2 linked regions of the Oryzias latipes genome follow. The protein of the gene in region 1 interacts with the protein of each later gene in a pairwise test. Links are inferred from orthologs where the notes say so. Each region holds a gene or a part of one and is shown on either strand. Other genes may lie near its edges.

Evidence for each region.
Region 2: the proteins of ccdc174 (region 1) and eif4a3 interact in binary tests that used the Homo sapiens proteins (3 or more experiments, as listed by UniProt). The two-hybrid records come from large-scale screens. The link is inferred for Oryzias latipes from reciprocal best matches to the Homo sapiens genes CCDC174 and EIF4A3.

What each region holds. Positions count from the first base shown.
Region 1 is NC_019863.2:3,864,586-3,868,118, reverse strand, and holds part of ccdc174 (coiled-coil domain-containing protein 174), read left to right. Parts: intron 1-505; coding exon 506-642; intron 643-757; coding exon 758-852; intron 853-1,205; coding exon 1,206-1,338; intron 1,339-2,436; coding exon 2,437-2,589; intron 2,590-3,533. UniProt on the Homo sapiens protein: Probably involved in neuronal development.
Region 2 is NC_019859.2:157,838-163,226, reverse strand, and holds the start of eif4a3 (eukaryotic initiation factor 4A-III), read left to right. Parts: upstream 1-2,236; 5' UTR 2,237-2,339; coding exon 2,340-2,493; intron 2,494-3,367; coding exon 3,368-3,440; intron 3,441-3,513; coding exon 3,514-3,580; intron 3,581-3,663; coding exon 3,664-3,726; intron 3,727-3,808; coding exon 3,809-3,941; intron 3,942-4,006; coding exon 4,007-4,087; intron 4,088-5,261; coding exon 5,262-5,389. UniProt on the Homo sapiens protein: ATP-dependent RNA helicase. Involved in pre-mRNA splicing as component of the spliceosome. Core component of the splicing-dependent multiprotein exon junction complex (EJC) deposited at splice junctions on mRNAs.

The sequences.
Region 1 (3,533 bases):
TGCTGTTGAATATTGGTGTCGAAGGACAACCAAAAATTGGGGAGGAAAACCAAATATTACTTTCCAGGACAACCATTTTTTTCCCTTATTTCTAACGCTGTGATGTCTCCTGAAAACATCTACAATTCTATTAAAAAACAAGAAAACCTCACAGTACTGACATGGGATTATGCTTAAAGTCCCACTCGGATCATCTTTTGATCTATTTTTAAATCGTCCCCAGTGGTCTTTCAATTACAATGACGTTGTTTTTGGCCCAAATAAAAAAAAAAAAAAAAAAAAAACCTTTGTTGATTTTTAGGACATAGTTTCTGAGGAGCAGCAGGAATTCATCAGAAATTCCCCTCTGGGGGGGTGGAGAAGGGAGCTTGTGGCCCACTCAGCTTTTATATAAAGCTTCATAATGCGCATTGCCTTCGTTTGGGCCACATTTGCTTCCAACAGTCTGGGTTCTGTAGCTTCACCATCCACATTTTTAGCCTTTAACTAGAACTTTTGTTTGCAGAATAATCTCATCTGACAAGACTTTATTGTCGGAGGACATGCGCCGCGAGCTGCAGAGGCAGGAGTGGGAAAGGGAGGAAGAGGAGGCCATGAAGAGGCCGGTCGGACCGATCCACTACGAGGATATCCGAGCTCAAGGTTGACTTCATTTCAATTGGATTTTTACAAAATGAAAGAAAAAAAAATGGAAAACCTCATTTTTGCTGTGATAACTTGTTATTTTTTCTTCTTCTTCTACTTCTTGGCATGTCAGAGGCTCGAGAGCTCGGTGTTGGCTACTTTGCTTTCTCTCAGGATCAAGAGCAGCGCAGGAAGCAGAGGGAAACTCTGGACATGCTCAGGGATCAGGTGGGTTGTTTTTCTGCAGTGAAAGCTCGCTCAGAAAACGTTTGTCAATGTTCAAAAGATGATAAATGTGGATGAAAAGACATTTTAGGAAGAGTACAAAAAAAAACAGTCCTGTACATAGCAATCAATATGGAGGCCAAAGGAGAAGAGAAAACGTTATTTACTAAACAGAAATGTTACAGAAACATATTTATCTCAAGGCCCCACTTTAAGATTTTGCTCCTAAGATCATGTCTGATTTTCTTAGTTGTTAAAGTCCTCGTTCCCTCATTCTGATGAACAAAATAACTGGATTGGAGTCTAAGTAGATGATTATTGGACCTTCATCGTCATCCTTTCATCTTCACCTTCAGACAACCGATCAACGGACCAAAAGAGAACGACTGAAGGAGAAAAGGCAGGCCATCCTGAAGGCTAGACTCGCCAAGGTGAGGCAGAGGAAGATGAAGAAGGCAAAGTTAGATGGCACTGAGGAAGAGAGTAAAGGTAAGTCATTTCAATATTTACTGAAAGCTAATACATTTATGCAGTAAACTAGAATCATCGATACGATACGTTTTCTTCAGGAACGGCCTTTTTTATTTATTTTTTTGTTTAATCTGATGGGTCGACTCAGAATTGGTTAGTTTGGCTCAGATGCAGCTGCGCCGCTCTGTCTCCAGCAATGTCCCGCCCACGCCGCCGTCTGATTGGTTATGCAAGCCACGCACTCAGACTTCTGCGTGTCATGCTACTAGCAACCGGGGGGGGTCACTTTTAACACACTAATGCATTAATAACACGTTAATAACATGTTAAACAAAGTGTTAACGCTAGCTTTTTGTTTGTGTTTCAACTTCTCACAAAGAGAAGTCATTTCATTCATGCTTTGGAGTTTTACTTTATTTACTATAAAAACTTTCTGAGAACTTTTAATTTAACTTTTAAAAAGTAACAAACGATGCTGCTGAGCCTTTTACTCCCCGCATTTCTAGGAACTATTGGTTTGCTTTTTTCATTGACTTGTGTTTTAAATACTCAGTTAATTGTTTGTGCTGGTATTATCAAAATGTTGACTTTTTTTGGACAAATGACTATCAGCTCCAAATATCAGTTATTGACTACTAATAATCTGTAACAGCCCTAGAAAAACAATATGGCTCGATCTGTCCTGTAACAGGCTTCCTGCCTAGTCATAAAAGGTCCTAAATGCACTGAATTTGGAATAAACACCTTAAAAAGTCCTGAATTTAAAATTGTGCTGTTCGAAAACGTCTCCGTTTGACATTTCTTGATGGAACTTCAATTTTTTAATGTTGTTTGTTTTTGTAAAATAATCTAAATAAACATTTGTAGATCCAATCGTTATGTACCAAAACACTGAAGGACCCCCGCCAGTTTGAAAGACAAAGAAGGGAGATGTGCGCTAAAGCATCGCCGCACAAACAGGATAAGAAGCTACAGCTTTGAGCATAAATCAGGAAAAAATGGAAAATTGGTCTTTACTAATTGCTCTGCACGCCCATAAAAAGGTCTAAATTTAAACTTGAAGAACGTTCTCTAGTCTCATGCATGTTGGGATTTCTTTTTCTTTTCTTTTTGCAGACACAGTAGAGGAGGAGGAAACATTCGGACCCTTCCCTCAGCCTGATGACCCCCCAGAGGTCAGCACTCTGAAGAGAGTGGAAGTGGAGATTCAGGAGAGGAGGGACACCAAACCAGGAGTCCCTCACATCAGGGAATGGGACAGGGGCAAAGGTAAAACCCCACTAGGATGGGAAAAAGGATTCAGAAAAGCTTCTATTATTTTTAGCAGATTCACAATAGCTGCAGCTACATTTGCAAAATATCTTTGATCGGATCAAAGATCAGATTAGAATTAAACTGTGTTCATGGGCCCAGACGGCCAAAACAGGTTTAGATGTTTTCTAGAATCTAAATGAAGTTTTGCGCACATGTCTGATTAAAACGTAGAGACTGTTTTACCAACAATCTTAGCCGTCATCTCCTTAGTAACAGCCTGGCAGTAAAAAAATGTTGTACATGACGTAGAAGCAGGTCAGTGAAATATGAAATTAGAATTTATTTGAAATTTTTCTGATTTGAAATGGTTTATTTCAAGCAATCACTGAATAAAGCACAAAACAATACAATAAACATTCATACATTCATTCAAAGACGTATCAAACTTAGGATAATTAGACATTAAATCAAAGATTGCTTGTAACGGAGTGGAAGGAAGAGAACTTCTATAATCCCACCTCTGTTCTACCGTAACCATTTTATTACATGATTGATCATTATCATAACTTTTCATCTGTCATCAATGCCTTACCAACACTTTCAGGTCATTACGTATGTTTAAGTATCAATAAATCACATGACAATGATGAACTACTTCATACTTATGTAGAGTAGTTATAACTATTTTGTTTAATAACATACCACATACAGAATATACTAGAATATATTCAGATTCATTTCATTAGAAAAATCATGTTTATGATTAAGAACAAATAACACTATCCGAAAATAAACATAACAAATCATGACTTTTTTGATCAAGTGAATTAATATAATTTGAATTCAATCATTATAACCATCTTCAATAATTGATTAAGCGTTTTATTTGATTATTTATTTAGTCATTTATAGTAAGGTGATGTTGTGAAATAAAAAAGGTTCCATATTCTTTAGAACGT
Region 2 (5,389 bases), on another chromosome or scaffold:
CTTTTTTGTTTTGTTTTTTGTTGACTCTTTACAATTTCACTTCCAAATTCAAGAATATTTTCATGACATGACCTTTCCCTGCATCTCAAATACAAACTTTATAACCCAATATTTTAATTATTTAGGAAAGAAACAAAAACAAACTAAATATTTACAACTTCCCATTCCTCCTAAAGCCAAGGAAGTCCACTTTAAACCAATTCCAAGGAATTACTAAGAAAACGGTTTGGAATTCCTGAAAACTGTTCTTTTTGTTATGAAGATATTGAAACAACTGAGAATCTTTTCTTTGAATGTTTTTACTCTCATGGCTTTTGGGACAATATACATTATTGGCTCTTCCCTAAAATTACATGTTTAGCAGACTTTTCTATTAAGGATATCATTTTGGGGTTTATTTAAAAAACCAATCATTTTAAATGTTGTAATTATTTTGGGTAGATTCTATACACAAATATCGATTCCTTAACATCAATCCATACTTTTTTACATTTCATGAAGAACTCTGATCTTTTTCTTCTGTAAACATCATCATGGAAAATAAACTTGCTATGGAACTCCTAAGTATCATGATTTCATAATTTACAGCTTTTTGATAATCCCTAAATTCATGATCATTGCAATGCCCGTGGATATCCCCTTTATTTTATTTTAATCCGTCTTATTTAAGTTTGTATTTTATTTCTTTATTGTTTTTTGTATTTGTTTTTACTTAACTTTATTAACGTTGTTAACTTTTTTCTATATCTGTGTAACCGAGCGATGGGGGAGGTTCAATAATCATTCACTCTGTGGTCATAAACGACACGGGACAACAGGTCCGCCATTTAGTGGATCCGCTCACCAATTCTTTATTCTTCTTCTTCTACTCTCCCAAATTTAACTTGCCACGCCCCCTGGTCTCTAGGGTAACCCGGGAGGGACACACCTCTCCCAAAATAAAAGATCCAGGAAGTTGGTTACATACGTCCACCCTTTCAAAAGAAATGTCCTCATTTCTACAATTTCTACAGGAAATGCAACAGGCCGGGGAGTGCAAAAAAATAAATAAAATAAATGAATTAAGAAATAAACATTCGAGACCCAATATGGCGTCAACAAAAGTCAACCAAACAGGAACAACATGAGTTTACAGAACCCACCGGCAAATTTCCCACCACAGGAGGGAGAGGAAAAAAAAAAATCTGAATAATAATACAACATTGCCTGCCAACCAACAGCATATTATTCAACAGAATCTTTCAAGGAAGGAAAACACAACAACATATGACAGTCTCCTCACAACACCAACAAAAATTTCACTGTGACATAACTCTGTATTGTTACATCCTAATAAAGTCCTGATAACGTGTTGGAGCACGCACCATTCTGCCACTGCGGGAGTGTGCAGGGGCTGTCCCAAACGCGTCCCTCTGACCCTGTTGGGGTGGATCACCATTATCTGGGGGGTCCAATGAAGTACCCGCCGAAGGAGAGGATGATGGCGGGGTGGACATACTGTCGTTTGGGGAACCAGCAGGCAGGGGAAGAGTGTAACGTTTTAACCTGTCATGATGAACAACCTGGGCCCGCTCAGACATATCCAGGGGGTTGACAATGCGATATGTCAAAGCGGCCTCTGCACCTGAAGCCAGAACCCGATCCACACGATAGGGACCTTTCCAGTGCGGTGCTAGTTTTGTGCGGCCCTCTGTTGGGTTATTAAGCCAGACCAGAGCACCCTCTGTAAAGCCCTTGTGGTGAGAGTTCTCATCATGGTACAGTTTCTGTTTCTCCTGCGCCTCTGCTGCATTAACCCTCGCTGCACTGAAAGCAATCTCCAGCCGCTCCACAAGAGACGACGCGTATAAAGGCAGCGTGGCTGCACTGCCAATGCCACCAACCCCACTAGGAATGAGAACCTCTGCCGGGGTCCGGGCTTCGCGCCCGTGCATAAGATAAAAGGGAGTAAACCGTGTGCTGGTGTGCTTGGAGATGTTGTAAGCAAAAGCAACAGATTTCAAATGGTCATCCCATTCCCCCCCCATGGGACAACAACATCTTGGCCAGCTGGTCAATTAGGGTAACCCGGGAGGGACACACCTCTCCCAAAATAAAAGATCCAGGAAGTTGGTTACATCTGTTTTAATTGTGGTTTGACACTTTATACAGCTGCCACAATATTGTAAACCTCAAATGTTTTTTCCAAACGAAAAACAATTGCTCTTCCGCCTGATAAACCTGGTCGCCTGCTGATGACGTAAGCAGAGCGACACGTGGAGCGCTGTTAGTAGCTAGCAAAGCGGTTACCCCCCTTTTGCGGAGACTACCGATTCGTTTTGAAGACAGACACGACCGTCATGGCCGCTGCTGGGACACCGGGCAGGAGAAGACTCCTGAAGGAGGAGGACATGACCAAGGTGGAGTTTGAAACCAGTGAAGAGGTGGATGTCACCCCTACCTTCGACACCATGGGGCTCCGTGAGGACCTGCTCCGGGGAATCTACGCCTACGGTAGGCCGGTGGATTCGAGAGGCCTCCGCCTCCAGATGCTAAGCCTAAATCCGCTGTGTGGTTCAGTTCACCTTAAAAAAGGAATGAAAACGTAGTTGGTATCAGACTACATCCCGTAATAACTTACATTAAAGCGGGTAGATTGGTGTGACCTGATCATTTTGTCGTTGGCGGGAAGAAAAACTTCATCTTTTTAGCCTTCATGCTAGCATGCTAAGGCCGCGTGCGGCCGCGCTGACATGAAATTAGTTTAAATTCGTGTTGATTATTTACTAAACGAAAACCAGATACTAAAATTTGCGGGTTTCGTTCAGTAATGCCTGGACACGATCTTTGTTGGTATTGTTGCTCGTAACAGTCATGATCCAGGAGTTAGACGGTTCCCATCCTATATGGCTTCGTATATGTAGCGAATATTTTACTAATTTCCCCCAGAACTATTAATAAATATATGTCAACACTTCTGTCTTAATGTGTATTTTAATTTTGTTTCTGTTCATGTGTTCTGTCTTCTCCAGACGGCAGAACATTTTATGAACATATTATCTGGACCCAAAAGGACGGGAGAAATCCCAATAGACAGAATCGATCAGATTTGTATCTACAGTAATATTGAAGTGTTGCACTGATAAAGATGAATTCTCTACATTTTCCTGGACTATTGTGCTTGAGAGGATCCTTCTTTACCCCTAAAACCCAGTTTCTCCATAGAAATCCTTTCTGTGGGACTAAAACTTTTCTTTCTGGTCAGCATCACCAGAACTTCCCACTTTGGTCCCCCTCAGTTTGAGCAGCATGGGAACTTCTCAGATGAGGTTTCTCTATGTGGAAATGAAGATGGACAGCACCTGACCAGGTTCTGGTTCTGTTACAGGTTTCGAGAAGCCTTCAGCCATTCAGCAGAGAGCCATCAAGCAGATCATCAAAGGCAGAGATGTCATCGCTCAGTAAGTCTGGGCTGGAAAACATGCAGGTGCTCTGGTCCTCCATGCTGTAACGTGTGATCTGTGCTGCATTCAGGTCCCAGTCTGGAACAGGAAAGACGGCCACTTTCTGTATTTCCGTCCTGCAGTGTCTGGACATCCAGGTGAGTTCTTGCTGTTCTTGTGTCCCGTGACAGACGGGCCAGAACCCGTTTGCAGCTCGGTGGTGATGCTGTTCCTTCTGCAGGTCAGGGAGACCCAGGCTCTAATTCTTGCTCCAACCAGAGAGCTGGCCGGACAGATTCAGAAGGTAGCCCCGCCTCCACCGCCATGTTCAGCCAAAGGCTTGTAAGGTAGAGGCGGCGGTGCCAGTCACGGTGTCCTGTGTGCAGGTGCTGCTGGCTCTGGGAGACTACATGAACGTTCAGTGTCACGCCTGCATCGGAGGAACCAACGTGGGCGAGGACATTCGCAAGCTGGACTACGGCCAGCACGTGGTAGCTGGCACCCCTGGACGGGTTTTTGGTGGGTTCAATGGGTTTTATGGCAAAAGTGGCACAAACGGGAATGCTGACGGCGTCTCTTTACAGACATGATTCGGCGCCGCAGTCTCAGGACCAGAGCTATCAAGATGCTGGTGTTGGATGAAGCTGATGAGATGCTGAACAAAGGTGAGGTCCTCTGCTGTTCAGCGTCTTCTGTACCTGCAAAGCAGCTCTGTCTGAGCTGAAAGCTCACCTGCTGGTCATCAGAATAACTCTGGCACCTTTGGTTACGTCTGAAATGTGTTGAAGGAGCAGGAAGGGTTGGTCCTTCCAGGTTGGAACCACCTGTTCCAGACACACTTGAAGGTCACCTTTCCTTTCAGTGGTCGTGTTTTCGGCTTAATGTGTCAGATTTGAAAAGTCCATTTGACGCCATCGGGCCGCGATGTCACCACTTCCTGTTTAGGACGTTTAAAGCAACACTTCAGTGAATTTTAACGGTGACATGGAGATGTTCTAAGTGAAGGTTAGGAAGAACCTTCAGCAGAATCTTCAGCAGAACCGCTAGCAGGGTCAGAACTTTAAATTCATGTCTGTAGTGTTGCTAGTGTCACTGCAGAGAATGGTTTCAGATTTCTGCTTTAACATTCCAGATTCGTGGGGGAGCAGAGCTTTTGGGGGGTGGGGGTGGTGGTCTCTGTAGCGCATGGGGAGGTCTTCATCTCACCACCACACATCTTTGCTTGGCTGTTGGTGTTTTTGCTCTTCGTCGCCATCAGATCTTTTTCATTCTAGAATCCTGGACGGATTTTTCTACGAAGGCTTGAACTTTAAGAGAAAAGTCTGGAAATGTTGACAGCTAGCTTGTGGATTTCACCTGTGGCCGGTTATTTTAGAAGGCAACTCCCGCGATGGGAATGCTGTAGTTGAGTTCCGGCGTGACTGCACTTCCTGAATGACCCTGGTCAGTCAAAGCCGCCGTCATGGCTGAAGTTCTGGCAGACCGTCCTAAACTACGAGCTCTCTGAGAGGTTTGGGGCCGGCCTCAGAGACGGAGATGCTTCTGGGTCTCAGGGACCAAAAATCAGGAGCAGCCTTTCTCCGGTTTGGAGCACCTGACATCTCTGAGACTTCATTTTCAGTCTCTGACAGCAGAAACAAACCAATGTGTTTTTTCCTTCTGCTTCCTTGTTTCCATCATTTCTGCTTCTTCCTGGTCTAATCTTCAATAATAGGCTCATGATTGGACAGAGTTTGGTTATTGGTCACCTAAATCACTTCCTGTTTGTGGCGTAAGGACACGATGGCGTCAGTCATGTGACCATCTGGGTAGTCACAGCCGCTGCTTTGTCTTTGGCAGGATTTAAGGAGCAGATCTATGATGTGTACCGCTACCTGCCTCCAGCCACGCAAGTGGTCCTGATCAGCGCCACGCTGCCACACGAGATCCTGGAGATGACCAACAAGTTCATGACCGACCCCATCCGC